3 linked regions of the Astyanax mexicanus genome follow. The protein of the gene in region 3 binds, or shares a complex with, the protein of the main gene of each other region. Links are inferred from orthologs where the notes say so. Each region holds a gene or a part of one and is shown on either strand. Other genes may lie near its edges.

Region 1 (7,118 bases), on a different chromosome or scaffold from region 3:
GTAAACTCCTCCATCTGTAATGAGACACTGATGCAGCTTTAGTACAAGTTTATATAGCTATATATATATATATATATATATATATATATATATATATATATATATATATATATATATATCAAAGCTTAGAATCAGACTACATTTATTATTGGATGAGAGTTTTTTTTGTATGAGCGGTTAATATACAATCCAATCTATAATACACGATAACATCCAATATACAGTACCAGTCAAAAGTGGACACACCTTAATTTTAGGTTATTTTCAGTATTTTAACATTTCTGCATTGTAGATTAATACTAAAGTCATCCAAATTATAAAGAAAACATATGTATGGGGAGTTGTCCCAAAAGAATCCTCTTTTTATTCCATGATGCACTTTTGTAGTGGTTAGTGTAGTGAATAGGGGTTAAATATGGTCTGCAGTGTTTGCTATTCTGTGTTGTTAGTGGTGTTTGTTAGCTCTGCTCTGCTGTGATACTCACTGTACTGGGCCGAGTGAGGTACTCTCAAGAGGGGTATCAAGTTAGTGGTGTTAAAATGTTTAATCTGCTTCCTCCACAAGATTCACTGGTTTTACATATTATACAAACATTTTCGCTTAAGTCAGATACAGTAAAAGCAAAGTGGAGCCAGCATAACACTGCCTATAATGAGCATCTGCAGCCATGTACAGGCTCTAGAATTTTGCAGAGCTACTGTTATCCTTAACTGAGGATATGATCTAAAAGGGTATCAAGTGGAATATGGCTATTTTAAATATCTGCCAATATCAATACATAGCCGATCAATTGTCCGTCTCTAGTTCAAAAGTCTCAAAACTGTTCTGCACTGCAGAGTTAGCATGGCTAGCTGATTAGCACATTGAGGTGGCTAGCTCCTCATTCTCCCTGCTCCACTCGCACTGCAGGCAGGCAGATATATAAGGTATGAGTGACACACTGAGAGGTGAGACAGGTGACCAAGATGACCAAGTAATAAAACAGTGAGAAACTAATCAAACAGAATGGTAGAATTTGATTGTGTGTGTGTGTGTCTCATACTCATGCCGTTCTTCAGTGGTGATATCAGCTCCACTCCAGGTCGGGGTACATGAAGGGCTGTGGTGTCCATGTAGAAAGTCCGCCCGCTGTTGTTATCTTGCTCCGCCCCCATCTCTGCAGGCCCCTCCTCCTCTACATGCACTCCTAAAGAGGTGGGGAAGTCTGCCTGCAGGAGATGTGATATAAACAAGGTGTATCTAAAGGTGTGAGGCTTTACATCAGAATATTTTCTGCTTATTCATACACTGAAGGTGGATAAATGTAGGTATGGATTAGTGGATGTTATTAAAACGATAGATGGATGGATAAATATATGGATGGATGGGTAAGGGTACCTTAGGGCAGTCTTCACCAGCATAACCTGCTCTAGTGGAGAAGGAGCCGATATCAAACACCAATGCCCCCACCTCATCTAAGAGAGAGAAAGAAAGATAGTGTGAATGAGAGAGAGAGAGAGAAGTACAGTAAGAGAGAGACAGAGAGAGATGACAGATCTACAGTAATGATATAACTAAAGTGATGATGGATTAACAGAGATGTAGCCACAGTAAGAATGGGGTTACAGTAATGATGATACAGTAATGACAGAAAGGGATGAGGCTTTAACAGGCTTTTATACAGTGATGGTGGAGTTACAGTGATGACAGAATAACAGTGATGGCAGAGCTACAGTGATAACAGAGCAACAGTGATAACAGAGCAGCAGTGATGAGAGAATAACAGTAATGACAGAGCTACAATAATGATGGAGCTACAGTGATGCCAGAGTTACAGTAATGGTGGCAGAAGTAGAGTGATGATAGCTACAGTGATGACAGGGCTACAGTAATGATGTAGCTACAGTATTGCCAGAGTTACAGTAATGTTGGCAGAGCTAGAGTGATGACAGAGCTACAGTAATGATGGAGCTACAGTATTGCCAGAGATACAGTAATAATGGCAGAGCTACAGTGATGCCAGAGTTACAGTAATGATGGCAAAGCTAAAGTGATGACAGGGCTACAGTAATGATGGAGCTACAGTTATGACAGTTACAGTGATAACAAAGCTAAAGTGATGATGGAGTTACAGTGGTAAAATCAATAATAGAAGCAAACGATGGAGCTACAGTAATGATGGAGTAAAAGTGATGGACAGCACTACAGTAATTATGGAGCTACAGTGATGATGGAGATACAGTAATGATGGAGCTACAGTGATGATGGAGTTACAGTGATGACAGAGCTACAGTAATGATCGAGTTACAATGACAGAGCTACAGTGATGACAGAGTTACCGTGATGACAGTTACAGAGATTACAGAGCTACAGTAATGATTGAGCTACAGTGATGACAGAACTACAGTGATGACAGAGTTACAGTGATGACAGAGCTACAGTGATGACAGAGCTACAGTAATGATTGAGCTACAGTGATGACAGAGCTACAGTGATGATGGAGTTACAGTGATGTTTCTCTCTTACCTCCACCGTAGACTCCACCACTCATGTCTATCGCTCAGTCCCTCCAGTTTCACTCCTCAGGCGAGTCGTGTGCAGAAATTTGTTGTTTATTAGTCCTGAAGTCCTGACTGACACGACAGGCTAAATAATGCTCGTGCACGTGCCTCTGCTCTTCCTTCGAGAGCTGCAGCTCGGCAACAGCTCGCCAGTGTGCGCGTGCGTGCACCCGCCGGCTGAGAGAGAAAGAGAGAGAGAGAGAAAGAGAGAGAGAGGGCTCTAAGGTGGGATCATCTTTTCTGCAGCAGAATGTAAGTGTGTGGACAGGAGTGTGTGTAGGTGTTTGCGTGTGAGAGGATTTGGAGGTGGTACAGTAAGCTATATAATTCACTAAGAACCACACTCAGAACCCCCATCTGGTCCTGTTTCATACTGAGGAACTTGCAAAATCAACAATGAAAGAGAAAAGGATGAAAGAAGTGAGGGATGAGGAGGTATGCAGAAGGTGAGAGTGACATGGCGGTCCTTAAGCTGTTCTGAGTTTAGAAACGGTCAAACTGCACCCCCTGTTGGTGGCTGCAGTACTGCACACACGCGCGCGCGCTGCAGCTGATAGGCTAACTGATAGATGTTTTCTATAAAACATGAATGGTTTACTTTAGTATAGAACATATGCTCTAATCCTAAGACATGCTGATAGAGGCACTTGTAATGTTGTGTATATTTTAATTATTATTCTGTTAAAAAAATTGTCTGAAAATAAATGGTTCCAATACTGTATAAAACAAAAAATACATTGAATTAATACAGTAATCTAAATAAATATTTAAATAGAAGATAATGAATATGCATGCACTTTGATATCTAATAAACACGTGTATATTTATAAATAATAGCATTTGTTTTTATCCATGTATTTTATTTGGACTATTCGTGTTCAAATGATGGACACTGACACAAACACAATGAATAAATAATAAATACATTATAATTTACAAGACCACATATAAATAATGTATTTTTTACAATCCTAAAAAGATTCTTATAAATATTTTGTAAGTAGTACATGTACAACTGAGTCGTTGTAAGTCTTTTAATATCTAACCACCTTCAGACAGCCTGTACCTGTTTTACTTAATCGTATTTATTCTTTTATTTTTATTTTAGTCCTCTCTTAGTTATTTATTTCCTTTTTATTTCTTTCATTATTTCTTTTTGTATTTTTTGTTTTGTATTATTACATTTTAACTTATTAAAAGTTTATGATTATTATTGTTATTATTGTTTTTTATTTATAAATGTTTATTTTTTATTGTACTATGTAAAAGTTAGTTTTAACTTAATATTAACAGTTTTTTTGTATTACTCTTATCTTCTTAATTTCTTAGCAATTAAACCAAGTTTTATTATTAATATGATTTTTTAAAATCTATTTTTATCTTTTATTTACTGTTATTTTTAAATTATTAAATGTAGTTATTATTTTCTTTATCATGTCAATCCCTGTATTTGTAAATGCTCAGCTACATAAAAAAGAGGGTTGCCCTAGATGTACTTCCGAGTCAAAATAAAGGTTGATTGATTGATCGGTTTATTGACTAATACATATTGATCTAATTAATATAACTTACTGTTAAAAACGTGAGTGAGGACTTTTATTTGTGAGGTCTGTATTTACCCAGGCCTGTTATTTATGTGTTGCTCCTTTTTAAGCTCCTCCCTGGTGTCCGGTTCCAGCAGGACCACCTTCCCCACCTCCCCTCCGCTCGGTCTTTGAGGGGGGATTCCGTATCCGAGAGACTGTACCGTCCCCCCCTCCGCAGCGCTGCAGTGGTTCAGTCCGGCCGCGCTGCGCTGAGAGCGGGCCGCACAACGGCGCAGCTGCGCGGGGGAGCACGGGGGGGAAAAGTTTTAGTTCTTACTGGACAGGACCGGAGAGAGTTCGGCCATGGGGGAAATCTAACCGGACACACACTCTCTCACACTCACATACACACACACACACACACACACACTCACACACACACCACCCGCTTGGACAGCAGCGCAGCCCCCCGTCCCGGCGAAGGTGAGTGTCTCCCGGTTCGCTCCGAGGGTCCGGTGGAGGGCGGCCCGCGAGGGCTAGCGTTAGCACGTTAGCGCTGGAGGTAGAGAGGGGCTATGGGAGGGGTCGGGGGTACTGTAGTTAACACACACAAATTAGAACAGGGTCAGTGTTTTAAAGAGTGGGTGAGATTGACAGTGAGCATCTGTATCTGACCATTTCTGTCTTAATGGAAATGTTCGGTCCACCTTAAATGGAGAGTGTAACTGCTGCAATAAGGTGGAACGAACTATTTCAAAAATACAGCTTAACAGCTTAGTTATTTCTTACTGACAAAATGTTTGTTCGTGCGTGTGTCCTGTGACAGCTGGAGCGGTGTCTCTACACACTAATCACCATCCCTCTCTCCCTTTTTCTCTCTCTCTCTCTTATCTCTTTTTCTCCCTCTTTCTCTGGGTGTGGGGTGGATTAAAACATGGGTATAACTATCCATCAAATGATTTTATATATGTGAAAAGGGAGAGTGAAGATAGAGGGAAGCAAAGGGAAGAGAATGTTAGAAAGGACTTCATCTAGAGAGAAAAAGAGAGGGAGAAAGAGAGGGGAGGAAGAGAGAAAGTGAGAGAACTAGGAGAGTTTGGTCTGAAATATTTTAGTAGTGATGTAAGGCTACAGTCCTGCTCACCTCAACTCAGCTCTTACACACACATCTAGAACAGTGTGTGTTTATTGTGGCTGAGTTCCTTTTCTGATCTAATAATGAGCTAATTTTAAATCCACACACTCTGTGTGTGTGTGTGTGTGTGTGTGTGTGTGTGTGTGTCTGTGTGTGATGGCTTCTCACCAAGTCTAAATCACCTGTTGAGAAACATCTGCTCTCACACACAACTCTGATTTACACTGCTTTGATCATTTCAGTCTTACCCACACACACAAACTTTTACACTGCTTTGATCTTGTCAGTCTTGCACACACACGCATATGCTATTGAGGGAGTGTTTTTCCTCTGTGAGTGAGTTCCATGGTGCTTCCTTTTCCAGCGGAAGTGATGTGAGAAATCCAGTCACAAGTGGTCACAGGACGTGCATATCAAATGCCAGATGGACTGGCAGTACATTTTGGCAATCAATTATGATTGGGTCTCCCAGGATGTATGTTTGTGCAAGGTGTGAACATTGCAACTGACTAAAGAATGTAAAAGTAAACATTAGAGATTACCTCAGTTTGAGACACAGCCCCTGAAGCTAATCTAAACTAACACAGGATCCTGGATCCTGTCAACTGTGTTCTGATTGGCTGTACATGTGAATGTCCACGTGAATATTTTCAATACTGATTCTCTTGCTTGGTTCATTGATAGAAAATGGAAAAACCTACAGTATGTTTAAGGGTGTTTGTTTACACAGCAGCACTTTTTAAACGGGTTAACGCCGACTCTGGTTTATTTGCACCCCTAGAGCAGTTTATTTTGGCTGGTGTGAAAAGGAGGTAATCTCATCTCAGCTCCAAACGAACCCCCGAAACGCATTGTTTGAGGTGTAAACGTGGCCTGACCTCGATCTGACCCAACCATCAAATAAATTGAATTGAATTTGACCTGATTTGTTATCTAGATAATTACTACTGCTGTTGACGAATGCTATCTTTGACACTGCTCTAAAATATGTGCTAGTCTGGAACACCGCACTATTTTCATGCATTTACTTTCTAGGTCTGCCCCAGAAATGTTTGACCAATAATCAGAGAGAAAGTTCTCTCATGGTTTGTTGTGATGCATTTTGTTCTATTTGCAGTTTTTTATGTGTGAACCCAAAACAAACCAAAGACGGTGACATTCCAAGTTAATAAACTTGTTAACTGCTTCGGACCAAAGAAAGAAACAGATGTTTTGACTTAAAGTAGTGTTAGGTGCTTTAAAGGCTCCCTCATGGACAAGCTGTACACAAGCATTTGTTGACAAGCTGAAAGACACAAAAGCAGCGGTGGACTAAGAAGGTAGAGTAACCTTACAGGAAGTTACACATAGGGCTTGTTTAACATGTGTATATATATATATGCGTATTTAGAATTTTTATGAGAAATAGGAAATAACAGGATAAGTGTGGGTGTTATTGTTCTTTTATACTGGAAAATAAAAACGTATTTCTTCTGGTCAAACCGGGGAGGTATTGTAATACAAGTGTAAACAGAATTCGGTCAAGCATATAGATACCATCCAGAGACAATGGCAGGTGTAAACAGGCCCATATATGAATTGGGTTACACACTGATACAGTACTGGAGAGCAGTGTCATACAGCTTCAAAGTTCTGTAGTGCAGTATCAGAATTTTGGAGTGGAAATGACAAAGTTGCCATTCTTGCTGTTGCAGTCAGTTTACCATCAGTATGATTCAGAAACTGCTGTTTTAAGACAAACTGTATGGACTAAACTGTCTATATATGGACCACCTGCTCATTCATTGTTTCTTATGAAATTAAATGTATTAAAAAAAGAGTAGTTTTTATTGGAATATCTCTCTATAACTTCTCTACTGTCCAAGGAAGGCTTTATACTTGCTCAGACCTGGCATGAGGCATGATGCCAGAAGGTT
Region 2 (8,018 bases), on a different chromosome or scaffold from region 3:
ATAAATTAGTGATTTTTTTTTAATGAAAGACACTTTACTATGTTTAAATTGCATTATCTCTTCACCATACGTAAATTAAAAAATATAACAATATCAATAGTGGCTCAAATGACACCCCGATCATGACCTTGCCCCCTCACCCCCCTGATCTTGTTTTGAAGTATCTTTGTGTGATGTAGCAGTGACAGCACCTTCCAAAAGTATTGGAGCATTGAGAGCTGTAGACATAAAAGGATCTGATACACAGTTTAGAACATTGTGCTTTTTGTCTGACCTCATTTTTGTTATGAGAAATAATATTGGAACATGTGACTTTCAGGTGTATTTTGTTGCCCAGGTGTGTTCTGATACATTGACTGCTCAAACAATAAATAGCTCTGAATGTATATGCTTAGTTTCAGTTTGGATTTAGCCCATGTGGACTGTGCATTTGATATTTAAATGAGTAAACATGAAAAACGAGCAATTGTGAAGCTGAGAGATGATGAAAAATCAATTGGAACCATTGCATAGATATTGTCCATAGCCAATAAAACCACAGCAGTCGAAACATTGTTAATACTGTAAAGAAAGACCATCAAACAACTGCTAGTGGCATCAGCAACAACCTTCAAAAGGTAGGAGTGAAGGTATTGCAATCTACTGTTCGCTGAGGATTTAAAAGCTGGAATTTCCCAAGATGTACAGTGATAAGAATATGGACTGATGAACTTTTACCAATGTGATTGAAAGGCTAAATTTTGGAGAAAGAAAGAATCTGCTCATGATTCCAAACATACAAGCTTGTCTGTGAAACAAAGTTTTCTACTGAAACTTTTGTCTTTCAATTTAAAGAAAGATGCAACCAATCTAATTGGGAGATCCTTCATCATACAGCAAAATGATGACCCAAAACTCACTGCCTGGAAAGCATCGCAGAAGAAGAATGCGAAAGTTTAGTAACGTCAGTGGGTCACAGACGTGATGCAGTTATTGCAAGCACAGGATTTGTAGCTAAATAAGGAATTTCAACTTTAATCTGTATTTAAGTCTATCTGTTCCAATACTTTTGCCCAAAAAAAGAAAAATGGGTGGGTTCCGATAAAAGGTGCCATCTTCTGAACTGTGTATCAGAATTAGATGTACCTGGAAATAAAAGCTGAAATGTTGATCTTTTGCATGATATCAATTTTTAATATCAAACCCAAATGTTTTCAGTCTACAGCAGGTGTGAATACATGGATCAGCCTCACTGTTCCAATATTTTTGGAGGGGTCTGTTTATAGTGTCTTAAATGTGTTTATGTAGATGTTGTTACAGTTTCGTGTTCTAACATCTCACTCAATGAATTGCACATGTAGGAGTGAGGATGACTCATTGACGACGCTCCAAGTTCGTCCTTCAGCTTTGCTGGGCTCAAAGCGACATGAGAAGAACCAAGGGAGTCCGCGTGTGTTGCTAAGAGACGAGTCGTTTCCACAGTAACGACATTGGCAATGGGGGGGGGCCCTCCAATCACTACCCACAATGCCGTTTGGCTCACCTTCAGTAACAAACGCACGACCTGAATTGTGCTGACTGGCGGAAGGGCCATCGATTAGCTTCACCGTTCGGTTTACACAAGTGTTTTCTTTCTCACTCTGTTTCTCTCTTTCTCTCTTTCTTTTTCTCTTTATTTTCCTGGAATATTTTGCACAATGAATCGATGTCGTGTTGATCGTTTTGTCTTGACAGTGTAACTTGATAGTTCTTCAGAGTGGCGCGACCTGGTGGCGTGGAACGCGCACAACAATGGGAAGCTCTCAGGGAGGACCGGGGCGGGGCCATTGGTTTGAATGGCAGGTGGTAGTAAGCAAGTGGCGGATGCCTCCCTTCACTTGAGACTTTTGATTTTTCTTTTGCACGTCTTCACTAGGTCTTAAACGGCTGAGGAGGACGTGTTTTTAAATGATGGCCAAGAAAAGATATTTGCAAAGAACAGGACTGATAAATAACTCATCAATCAATGCTGCTTATTTCACCATTTCGAGTTGTAAGGGGCTTTTTGCACGAATCCACAAAGGTGCATCCTTTTTTTTTTCCTGGTGATCCTCAAGGCAAAAGAGCCGTGTTGACACCTTGAAGAACAATTATGATCTTCTAATATCGCACTCTTACAGGAAAAAATATTATAAAATAAAACTTTGAGACTCTGTATAAACACTTGAAATTGCCTCTGGCAGAAAGACGTACGTATTCCTTTGAGGAGAACGTATCAAGACTAGAATTTCTCCTTTTATCATTTTTTTGTTTCTTCCTTTCTTGGTCTTGTTTCTGTGTACTAGATGTTTACAGTGTAAGGAATCATGTGTGTCTTCACTGTGTTGTAACTGTACATACATTTGACTAGGTGAAAAATGCTGCTATCCTGGCCAGGCCATGAGCCGTATGCTTGTGGACATGTCAACACGTGTAATAAACGATCAGAACCATGTATGTGTGTTTGAGGTTCACTTCAGTACCCTGCTGAAAATAGCCTGGCTAGCTCCACCCTAGCTCACCCTTGTTAAGCAGGCTGACCAGCTTAGCTTGTGACCAACAACCTGAAGCTAACAACCAGGTTATTGACTAGCTTAGACAAGTTTATTGTGCTGCTGGTAGACAAGTTAGTCCATCAAACTCAAAGGAAAACATACGTAATGCTGATCAAGAGGTAACAAGTTACTTAACCCACTTAACCACCTGGTATAGGGTATATTTTCACCTAGATGACGAGCTTTTCAACCAGCTCTTTGTTTATGATAAAAGGGATGAATGTAGGTTGTTAGATGCTAAATAAAAAAGTCAATTTTATAAATGTTGTATTACAGGCTTGCATGTTGTTCCATTGATAACTCCTCACATGGAGACAATGAAAACTGGTACGTTATTGTACAGTTAATTTCTGGATTTCTCCTGTAACTTTTGACACAATTATGTTTAAGAAACTAAGTAAAATAAGTATTTTTCTAAATAATGCAACTCAATGGCCTAGCCTATGAACAGTTATGAATACACACCAGGTTAGGCTAATGTATTGACTGAGGAATTCATAGCAAAATATTCTCCAAAAAGAAGTTAAGAATGTATTTTGCATGTTACTCCATGTTAAACTTCACAGAAATATGCACTGGTTTAGAACACAGGACCTTCTTCCTGTATTTTATTTCATGCTCCCAACCCAGAAAGATCTGACCAATAAGCATATACATGTCACGTTTGTTGTGACTTATTTTTAAGTGCTTGAATTTTTCTCCTATTAAACCAAGTCAAGAGGAAAATGCTTCAAGTTTCCAAATAAACTATAGGTGTGGAAATGCAGTAAGCTGATCAAGCCAAATAGAATAGATAATACACACAGTTAGCCTTGTGATAATGTTACATATTTCATTGCAAATCCCATAGCGAGCTACTTTACATTAGCATTGTCCCTCTGGTGGTAATTATGAAGGTAATTGATGCTGAGATTCAAAAAGAAGTCTTGTTCATCCCAACTCTAGCCCTTTGTCAGTTGTAAGATTAATACCGCACAGCCACTCAACAGAACGGTGACTTCCTTTACAATTCAAACACAAAAAGGGGAAGAACATGGTGGGTACCCAGCATGGATATGATGGCAGCTGTGGTTAGAAACTGCCAGTAATGAATGCAGAAGTAACAAGTACCACCACCAAACAGGAACCACTGGACTTCCAGTGTTTACCATTTGTCTTTGCTTTCCTGGCAAACTGTGGACCTCTGTGCTAACCATATATTCATCGCAGTACAAAAGTTTTTTGAAGGAAACATTTTGGTTGAATTTTATCTACAAGAACAACCATTTTTGTGTATGTTGCTGTTGTCACAGCCATTAAAATATTTCCATATTTTCATCCATTCATCTTGACCCCAAAACATATATCCAACAATCAATCACTGGTCACAGCGCATCATAGCTTGGTGGTGTGTCCACAAACTACAGAAACCATCTGTGAGTGTCTGACCACCCTGCTGAAAAGCGAGCTTAGGAGCCGCTTTTTCATTCTTTAGGATGGTCTAAGTTGATCCTTGGTGGTAAAGGGGGTTGAAAAAACTTTTTGAACATTGGAAAGCTTGGTAATGCTGGTTGATCAGTTTTATTATGCTAGTTATGCTGGTCTTGAATGTCTCCCTACTTGGTCTTGTTGGTCATGCTGGTTAACCATTATAGTCACGTATGTTCACACTGGTTGTTTACCAGCTAAACCCTTAAAGTCACAGAAACAAAGACATTTTATGCTGCTTAAAATCTGGTCAGACGTATGTTAACTAGCTAGCTGTGTACTGGGAAAACATCATAGAAGTCACTACCACCCACAGTGGTGGTTATGAACATGACCTTAGGGGAATCTGTCCAATTGAACAGACAGGCTACTCCACATTCATCGCAGGAGGTCCTAGACTTATATCTTGCATATATCATGTTCTTTAGCATCCATGGGACAGGACAAAATAATTGAGACAATACAATTTCCTGTCCCATGACATTTGGCATGTTTATATATAAATATTCTGTTTTAGACATTTTTTTATTTATTGTGTAGTGTTTGTTATTATTATCATTATTAATATTGAAGTAGTGGCAGTGGTTCTTGTAGGTGTTTTATTCTAAAATTTATATTCCTTCCCTTTGTTTTATATATATGTGTGTGTGTGTGTGTGTGTGTGTGTTTGTGTGTGTTCATCTTAGATTAAAAAAATGTGTAATTGTACAAGCACATATCATTAATGATAATAATGCTTTTTAAATGTTGATAGTACTCTCTGTGAGGAATTGATTTAGTAATCAGAAGTGTATTACGCTAGCTAGAAGTGTAAAAATATAGATGTTTACAACAACCGTGTCCAAGAGGCATTCGGTGGGATTATCTGGCAACCCACGGAGGCCCCCCACTTGAACCTCAGCCCTTAGTCATTGGTCAATCTCTTGTAAAACGACTGAGCAACCAATTATAGCGCGGACTGGCAGGAGGGGGCGGGACCAGAGAGAAGGAGAGAGGGAGATAGAAAGAAACAGAGGAAGAAAAGGAGAGAGAGAAACAGAAACAGGAGAGAGAGAGAGAGAGAACACGAGCGCGCGTGTGTTTTATTTAGTATAGTTTAGTTATCGTCGGAGCTCGGGCAGCATGGCTTCCAGACCGGGGTTCCTCCCGAACAGCCCGGCGGGTCCAGGCACCGCGAACCCCGGCCCCCCGGGGCCCCCAGGCAGTGTGCGTATGGCGGGGATGCCGCAGAGCACGGGGGGCTATCGGGGTCTCCCGGTCCCCACTGGACAATACCCGGTAAGCCCGTGTGGTGGCAGCGCGACCCTAACGAAAGTTTGGCAGCTCGCTGAATTCAGTTATTTTCGTTAAATTCTTATTTTTTCGAAATTTAGCGAAGTTCGTTATTTTCGTTACGGCCGTTGGCTGAAATCCCCTCACGCGCTTTTGTCTGAGGGAGCGGCTCGCTAAGCTAACTGACAGTACACACATATACACACAGTCATTACAGCGCGTGTATGTTCATTAATGTCCAAAAACCGTCCTTAATACAGTTACGGATTCATTACCGTGCTAAGAAAATGTCGTTACCGTCTGTTCTGTAATTTAAAGTGCAAAATAACGGGAAAAGTCCGTTTTTAAGATGTTACGGTTGTATCTGCGTTAGCATGAACGTTGACCGAACTTCCGCGTTTAAAGTGAACTGACTTAAACCGATACTCGTTTACACGCTGAAAGAATCGATTTAAATAAGTTAAAAGAAGCGGATTTAACGGGGCGCACAAACGTCAGTTTTGGCATCATGTCATTTCAATGTTTGGCTTTGACGTGATGTTGCGTCACATCTCATAAACAGATGTGAAAACAAGGCTTCGGGAGGGGAATTTGATAGCAGTCTTTCAAATGGACTTTGTCTCACTATTAAAGTGGTTAAGAATAATAGGAATAAAACTATTGTGGTTCATGAATAATTTATATTTTCCTCATGTTCTGTTATTGTGTAGCTTAAGCTCTTTTACCCTTTAATGATTGGAGTTGTCATCCATATACATAATTAATATGGTTTTGGTCTATATTTTTTAACAACCGTTTTTTTTTTCAACAAACAGTACCATTAAATGTTTTCCAAGCTATTGTTTTCTTTACATTTAATTCCAAAACTGTATTTATTTTTTATGAATAGTAAGCAGTCCTCTTCAACCTTATCTGCAGCTTTTATATTGAACATATGTATATGAATTAAGGAAAAGTGTAAAATATAAATGATGTACAGTCTCGATTATCCCATTTTAAAATAAAATTAAAACAGTAATCCAGAGAGGTAGCACCAAATATTAGCCAACCAAAATTATTTAGCAGAAAGTGCTTTCTTACTCAACACTCAGATAATAAATACTGAACAATATTGTGCTTTATTGACGTGTCTGCTGGGATATTAAAATGTTCAGTGTTGAATAATTATTTTAATTGTAGTTTTGTATAAAAAAAAATAAAAGGGGCAAAATTAATGAGTTAAATAAAATGTGTTCATTGTTTGGTCTTTAACAAAAAATGCCTAGAGTCCGTTTTTGTCTCTTTACCTCTTTTATCATTCTGCTGTTTGTCATACGTGGTCCAGTGTTTCTGACCTGTCTGTGTGTGTGCGTGGTTGCAGCGTCCCAGCATGCCGCCCAGTCGAAACATGCCCATGGGTGGGATGGGGCCAATGGGATCCCCCATGCCTGGGCCATCCTATGGTGGCAGCATGCGCCCCGGCATGCCTCAGGCAGCGCTGGACCCGGTCCGCAAGAGACTGCTCCATCAGCAGGCAGGGGGGCTGGTGGGGCCTCGGAGAGGGTGAGTGTTCACTGGAGGTTGGAGTTTAGCAGCAGCAATTTTTTTTATTTAAACCATTACAATGTTGTTTTCCAGTGGCATGTTGTTACATATTAAAGCTTAATCTTTATTTATTATTTACTAGTAAAGAGTGATTAATTATGCTGAATTATTCATTTCTTTTCATTTGCGCAAATAGAACATAAAAAATTTACTCTGCTATTTGTATAACTTCTTCTGTTAAACACAACTTTAACAGGTAAACGAGTGAATTAAACAAGTAGGAGAGGAAACACGGAAAACCTATGCTTCACAGAAGCAGCAAGTGTGTGTGTGCGCGTGTGAGAGAAAGAGAGAGAAAGGAAGGACCAAAGGAGACCAAGGGAGAGGAAAGAGGTGCAAGTTAGCTGTGAGATTTAATCCATATTTCAACATAAATAAAATATAGCCTACCTTCTGAACTCAACAGTAGCAAAACTGTATTTGCATTGCTAAATAAACCTGGTGATACATAATTTGTCTCTGTAAAAAGAGTGATTTATGGGTGAAAGCTAGGGCCAAAATTAGTTAACTGATAAATTTGCTTAAAAAATGTTCTGTGATGTTCTAGAATGTTGCAGACTGCAAAACTAATTGGAACAGATTGTAACTTGCTAGATTTTTGTTTCAAATAATTTAAAAAGCAAACCTACCCTTATGTATTTAGGGCTTTGTGTACCAAACTCATACAGAACCGTGATGTCCAATCCATGATGTGAACCGAACCAAGACTAGCAATGTACCATTACATCCCTATTATTCACTTATTCCAGTTCCACAGCATTTCTGTGGCCAACATTGAATGGGTAGAGTGTGGCTAACACACTTAAACTTGTCCAGCAGTGAAGCAGCAGGAAGGGTTTCCCCACATTCAAAGCCTTGTACATTAACAGAAAAGCTCATCTCAGTTTGATCTTCTAGCATGTGCAAATTGACAGTGGCTTGTCCTTTGGGGCAGAAAGAACTTTTTGTACCCTTCCTCAGAGATGCATTTGTTTCCGCCCTGAAGGGAGGAGTGAAGGCACTGGTGTAAAACAAAGGAAGCTTAACTCTAACACTGTCTCATGATCTAAACTGCTGGATTACGCCGAAAGGAAGAAGTGCTAATAGAGCTGTGCCATCTGTACAACTTTAAAAACAAGCTTGGGAGGAAGATGGATCTATTTT
Region 3 (6,988 bases):
ATTAATTCATTTCAGTGCAACTTAATACTTTATACTTAATTTTATACCACTTGACCTAATATGATATAATAATTTAATTTTTTTCATCTCTATTTTTTCTATTATTAAAGAAACGTGATTTCACACTTTTGAACAGTGGTGTATATTTTAAAAATATGCTGTACAGAATCACTATAACACTGGGCAAGGAGTTCATTGTAAAGCATGGCAGATCAACATGGTTTACTTAAGAAATATATTTCTTTAAGATTCAACCTAAATTAAAATCAGTGTAATCATTAATTAAAAGGTAAACAGCCTGGAATTAGTATTTTAAAATGAACCCAAGAGCAGTTTACTAAATTAAATGGTGTAGGCTGTTAAAACTCATGAGGAACCTGAGGGGATCTAAGGATAGTTTTATATGTTGTTTAACCCACAGGCACCTCACATGATATTTTACACTTTTTATAGGGAGCCATGTGGTTCAGTGATTAATAATAAATCATTTTAGTGAATTATATTTTCTGCAGTCCAGTGTAATACTGGATACATTCTGCAGACAACAACAGAAATCATGATACTGCTATGTGGTGTATTTAACTTCACACTGCAGAAACATACACATTTTCATTTATACCAATATATAAATATGCAGTTAGGTATGTATTATTTAACAAAGTTATTCTAATTATGTGTAACTCCCCCTAAGTTCTATTTTAGGGTTTTCCTGTCTTTTATTCAGAGTTTATGCAGTTTCAGTGCATTTATTTATATAAATCCTATACGTTTTTAATGCCACTTAACCCATGGCTTAGTTGCTTACTTTTTCAACATTACTTAATTATTACACACATTAGTACACACATTTTATTTGATCAAGTTTTAAATAGAGTATCATGCAGTTCAGTGATTAACAGTTACTGAATTACTTTTCAACTTTTGCAAATATGAATATATTTGTATGATACTCCCACTGTGTGCAGGTTAACGCTAGTTTATCTCACTTGAGTCCACTGAGGTTTCACTCAGCCAAAATAATATAACACTATATAAAGATATACCACTATACTAATATAACACTTTATAAAAAATACTTTTTGGCTGTTTTTCAGCCTGTAAAAAAATGTCATTGATCAGAGCAGGACTAATATCAGACCTGAGAACATTCCCCACGTCCTCCTACAACTTTAAACACCAACACTGTACACACACAGCCCTGGAAGAAAATAAGGGACCACTGAAAAAGGATGAATTTCTTTGATTTTATCAAATTGATAACCTGGAATATAATCAAGAGAAAGATAGATGATCACAAGCCATCAAACCAAGCTGAACTGCTTGATTTTTTGCATCAGGAGTGGCATAAAGTTATCCAAAAGCAGTGTGTAAGACTGGTGGAGGAGAACATGCCAAGATGCATAAAAATGTCATTAAAAACCAGGGTTGTTCCAGCTAATATTGATTTCTGAACTCTTAAAACGTTATAAATATGAACTTGTTTCCTTTGCATTATTTAAGATCTGAAAGCTCTGCATCTTTTTTGTTGTTTCGGCCATTTCTCATTTTTTGCAAATAAATGCTCTAAATGACAATATTTTTTTTGGAATTTGGGAGAAATGCTGTCCGCAGTTTATAGAATAAAACAACAATGTTCATTTTACTCAAACATAAATCTATAAATAGCAAAATCAGAGAAACTGATTCAGAAACTGAAGTGCAATCTTATTTTTTTCCAGAGCTGTATAGAGCGACCAGTAAACGAGCTCCCGGTCACCTCTGTTACTACATCTCACTTATTCTACACCCGCTGATGAGGAACGGCGGCCGGGCTGTGAGACAGGACCAGTAACTAGTTAACTACAGTCACAGCGCTGCTGTAATGAAGAAGAAGAAGAAGTGCAGAAACACGCAGGTAAGAAATCCTGGAACTTACAATCAACCCCCTGTCTAACCGACCTGCACATCACCATGCAGCACATAAGCACACTCACACTCACACGAAGACTGAAACTAGTGCTGGGCAGCAGCGCGCAGACTGCTCACATCTCACAGACCCTCAAATCAAACATCAGCTCCGAATCTGCGGGATAAAAACCCGCTCCTTCAGCAGCAGCTCAATAACCGGGCTCTGTAACTGCGATACACACGCCCCCGCCGAAACACACACACACACATATTTACAAAACCACAACACATACATAAATGTATATATCCATTTTACTACTTACGCTTTTAGTGGATTCTGAATGACAGTCGCCATTTTGCCACACTGTAACCCAATATTCAAAATCTCAGACTTCTTTGGGACCCTTATGAAAAAAAAACAACCAATACGGACCTCAGTGTCCAGCAGTTTGGCCAATACAATAAAGGGATTTAAGACGTGGGCGTGGCTTAGGGAAGCTGTCAAAACCCTAACAAAAACCCATACATCTTTACGTTCCAGATACGTGATATTTTTATACACGCTTTATTTTTTAACGCCTTTTAGCTCGTTTTGATCAGATATCCCGATATTTTTACAGAAATATAGTTAGAGAAGTGCAGTGTCTGCTGGTATATAGTCATATATTTATGCATATGTTGCACGGTATATATGCTGAATGTTCATATTTTTCATGCATGTTTGCCTTTTTATTTTAAAAAAGGTTTTCATTACCGCATCAATTTATTTAACATTAAGTTAGTTAACCTATAGTCTTTACTCTCTGTCCACGACAGGTAAATTACAACATATAAAAGCGCTCCGTGTTATTGTCCCTCTCGTCCCGTTCAATGCTGTGATTGACATCGCACAAAACCAATCGTATGATGGAATGATACATATTTTGGTGAACCAACCAATTAACGCTAAGTAGGCGGGACGTTCGCTGAGCCACACGAGGAAACGGCGTTGTCCACCGCAGGCAGGACGATAATAACTGGAGATAATACGCTCCTAACTAAAATACAAACGTTTAAAAAACGATAAAATACATTTTGTATTTTATTACTTACGTCCGAGTGAGAGTCGCCATCCTGCCACGCTGTAGCCCAGTATTCAAAATCTCAGACGTCTTTGGGACCCTTATGAAAAAGAATCAGCAGATACGCCCAATACAATAAAATAATTTAAGATAGGGGCGTGGCTTAAATATGTCAAAACTGTAACAAAAGCACATACATTTATATAGCTATATTATATGTGTTCGTATAAATATAATGTAAAATATACTTAAATTGATTAGATGTTTTTTGTTTGTTTCACAGAAATGTGATAAAATGTATCATGATATGGTCAAGCATGTTATTTTGTATTAATCTAATTATGTATCCCTTAATTTGACTGCTTTAAGTTAGCCTGTTCACTTATCATTTTATTTTTAATAATTTTTATTTAAATCTTATTTTTTTTAAATGCCATATTTTTTATTGATTTGTTTATCAGTCCCTGCATTAAAAATGCATTAAAAAGAGGGTTTCCCTAATTTTTTTTTTCCGTGTGAAAGCTGACTGAGTGGGTGATTGATATGCAAGATAGATTAAAACACAAACAAACAAAAAAAAAAGATTTAATTAAAACAAACTAAAATAATTTACAATAAAGTGAACAGACTACCTTAAAACTGTCAACTTAAGAGATAAATAATTAGATTAATAAAAAATAACATTTGATTGAACTTATCAGCAGACACTTCATTACATATTTTTAAAACAAACAAAAATAATTAAATCAATTTAAGAATATATTAAATTCTCTCTCTAGATATATATATATATATATTTTTTTTTTTTTTTTCATGTTTTTTTGGTGCATACATGATATCTCTTATATTAACTTATCCATCAACTCATTTCATATTTTTTTGGAAAATAAACGACTTAATCTTTTGTTTTTTACCAACGGTCTGTGGCCCTTTTACACCGTCCTCTGCTGTGATTGACATCTCAGATATCCAATCCCGTGATTAAATTATACATATTTTTGGTGAAACAACCAATAAGCGCTTAGTAGGCGGGGTGTTCGCTGAGCCACACGAGGAAACGCCGCTGTCCGAGGCAGGAAGTACAATACCCGTGTGTGTTTGTTTATGTGAGCGGGTGAAGAAGTTGTTTGGTGGAAAACAGTCACACTCGGGAATAAAACAGCGAGTTAAAGAGTTAAAGTGAGGCTTAAAGTGTGCGGAATCTGTGGAACCAAGCTAAAAAACATGGGCTGCCACGTGTACTACCACTAGCTACGTGGTAGTCGTTTAGGTGCTAGCAGGCTAGCTGACTGACTAGCTAACCTATCTATCCTATTCAATGTAGCTAACTAAGTTCGCTAATGCTCAGACGTGCCTTATCCATGTTTCTTCATGGTCAGCGGGCTGGACGTGTGAGCTTGTAGCTGTTCTTACCTCAGTGCCTCTCATTACATATGAATACGAGAAATGGGGAGACGAAATTGGCGAGGAAGGGGAAAACACCAGCTTCACCATCATTATCGTCGAGCAGACTGGAGGAGAGATCATTCCACTGGCAGAAGTCACGAGGATGGGTAAAACATCTGCTCTAGTTATCATTTTCCCCTAAAATAAGTGCTAACCTGTTAATGCATTGCTGTTCAGCTACACTGAATGACTACTGCCTGAAGCCAAAGGTTTTAATGGGTGAACTGTGTCTCCCAGTAACAGCTAGGGCTGGCCCGAATAGCGTTTTTTGAGCTCCGGATATTCGGCACTGATTCGAAGCGAATTTTCGAATATTCGTTTTTTAAAAAAAGAGGTAAAAAAAAAAAAAAAAAGCAAATCACGGCCCATTTAATCCACTGAAAAATGTCCAATTTGCTCTGACCGACGAGACATATTCACCCCGGATTTTTGGTGTTTTTATCCCGGATTTTTGTGTTTTCACCCCATATTTTTTCTGTGTTTTTAGCCCAGATTTCTTTGTGTTTTCATCCCGGAATTTCTGCTGCCCCACACCGCGGCTTATCCGCTGCATAAGCAGGCTAGGAGGCTGCTGCTGCACGGTTTCTCCGCTGCGCAAGCCAGCCCAGTAAATTGCTGTTTGTGTTTTCACACTTAGGCTATTTGCTTAAAAAAAAAAAAAAAAAAAACGTTTGTTCAGGAAGTATTTTATATTCTTAAACATTGTTGATTATATTAGAGGACAGTCATTGTAAACTGTACTTGGTCTATTTCGGTTAAAGGATTGTGCAGGGCATATTACTGATTTTGTATTTTTGCACTTGGGCTATAAGCTCAATATTAAATATTTCGTTTGTTTAGAAATTATTTTATATTTTTAAACCATGTTAAATTATATTAGAGAAGAGGAAAGTCATTGTTAATGACGTTATTGTACTTGGTCTATTTCGGTTTAAGGATTGTGCAGGGCATAGCCGTATTACTGATTTTGTATTTTTGCACTTGGGCTATAAGCTCAATATTAAATATTTCGTTTGCTTAGAAATTATTTTATATTTTTAAACCATTTTAAATTATATTAGATAAGAGGAAATTCGTTCAGACATCATTTTTGTAGGCCAGGCTTTTGTAACCGATTTAGCCCCTACTGTTGCCACATTACCCCTTACGTTTTATTATATAAATCAGTTTCGAAGAGCCTGCATTTTTTTTTTATCATGTATAATAGAGGTCTGCGTAAGACTGATTTTTAAACCCACTCTTCCACGCTCCCGCGTTTCTGTCTCGTTACCGCGCCGCAAAAAAATTGCTTCTTTTAATCCCGCGCCCGCCCGCCACATACACATTTCTGCCGCTCCCGCCCCACGTTCCTAATATAAATTAAATAAACTACATTTAATGCTTCAAATTTACTTATATATTTATTAAAACAGCAGCGCTGAATAGTGCGGTCCCGTTCCTTACCCCAGTCCAAACACCATCGGTGTGTGCGTGTGTGTGTCGGTCCATCCTGCGCGTTGAGAGTTTTCTTTAGGTTTTTTTTTTTACAATTATTACAGTTTTCTTAACTATTTATTAATTTGCTCCCGCATCGTCTGGATTAAACTCCCGCTCCAGCCAATAACAGTTCAGTTCTGTCCCACGCGCAAGATATTCTGACGGGACCCGCGAAAACAGAAGTGGTTAGAGTGAGGTGGAACTCTGGAAAGGAGAAAAAAAACGAATATCCGAATACCAAAATTAAAAACCGAATACCTACTCAACGAACGAATATCCCAATACCCGAATATTCGGGTCCAGCCCTAGTAACAGCATCTGCTTTTTAGGGAGTACTGTTGTGTGCTTAGTTGAGCACCTGTGTCAGCAGCTGAATTCACACATTACAGTGAGTGTATGAGTACTTTTGGACCCGTGTATTATAGCATCTCAAAAAATTAGAATACCAATGAAAAGTTACTTTATTTCAGCTCAAATTGTGAAGCTCATATATTATATAGATGTATTATACACAGAGTGATTTATTTTAAGCATTTATTTATTTTATTGTTGATGATTATGGCTTACAGCCAACAAAAACTAAAAAATCTGTATAATGTGAATATTATTAAGACCTGTTGGTAATTTTGTCAGTGTGGGTGGTGTGTCAAGTCCTGCTGGAAAATAAAATCCACATCTTCATAAGTTCACAATTTGTCAGCAGAGGGAAGAATGAAGTGCTGTAAGATTTTCTGGGGAAACACTGCACTGACTTTAGACTTGAAATAACCCAGTGGAGCAACACCAGCAGAAGACATGTCTCTCCAAACCATCACTGATTGTAGAAACTTCACACTAGACCTCAAGCAGCTTAGACTGTGTGCCTCTCCACTCTTCATCCAGACTCTGCTCCTTAATTTCCAAATTAATTGCAAAATTCACTGATGGTCAATGATGGTTTGGAGAGCCATGTCATTTTTTTTTAGATGCACTAGTATATATTTATTTTTCTTGAGCTCCATAGATTAAGCCTAGTCTTAGTCTACAATTAAATGTCAGTTGTGAATCACCATTTGAAAATAACATATTTTAATCTGTTTAATGTAATCTAGATCTGGTTAACTGACGCAAAATGAGCT

What was found.
Region 1: dpf3 (region 3) and actl6b share a complex: the UniProt entries of both Homo sapiens proteins name them as parts of the BAF complex. The link is inferred for Astyanax mexicanus from reciprocal best matches to the Homo sapiens genes DPF3 and ACTL6B.
Region 2: dpf3 (region 3) and smarcd2 share a complex: the UniProt entries of both Homo sapiens proteins name them as parts of the BAF complex. The link is inferred for Astyanax mexicanus from reciprocal best matches to the Homo sapiens genes DPF3 and SMARCD2.

Annotation. Positions count from the first base shown.
Region 1 is NC_064420.1:26,447,234-26,454,351, reverse strand, and holds the start of actl6b (actin-like protein 6B), read right to left. Parts: upstream 3,011-7,118; 5' UTR 2,532-3,010; coding exon 2,507-2,531; intron 1,456-2,506; coding exon 1,379-1,455; intron 1,210-1,378; coding exon 1,044-1,209; intron 1-1,043. UniProt on the Homo sapiens protein: Involved in transcriptional activation and repression of select genes by chromatin remodeling (alteration of DNA-nucleosome topology).
Region 2 is NC_064422.1:21,924,765-21,932,782, reverse strand, and holds the start of smarcd2 (SWI/SNF-related matrix-associated actin-dependent regulator of chromatin subfamily D member 2), read left to right. Parts: upstream 1-5,008; 5' UTR 5,009-5,141; coding exon 5,142-5,297; intron 5,298-6,651; coding exon 6,652-6,833; intron 6,834-8,018. Other genes in the region: atxn7l3b (ataxin-7-like protein 3), read left to right, coding at 1,341-1,360. UniProt on the Homo sapiens protein: Involved in transcriptional activation and repression of select genes by chromatin remodeling (alteration of DNA-nucleosome topology).
Region 3 is NC_064408.1:78,429,001-78,435,988, reverse strand, and holds the start of dpf3 (zinc finger protein DPF3), read right to left. Parts: upstream 3,074-6,988; 5' UTR 3,000-3,073; coding exon 2,980-2,999; intron 2,292-2,979; coding exon 2,211-2,291; intron 1-2,210. Other genes in the region: wdr21 (WD repeat domain 21), read left to right, coding at 4,395-4,501. UniProt on the Homo sapiens protein: Belongs to the neuron-specific chromatin remodeling complex (nBAF complex).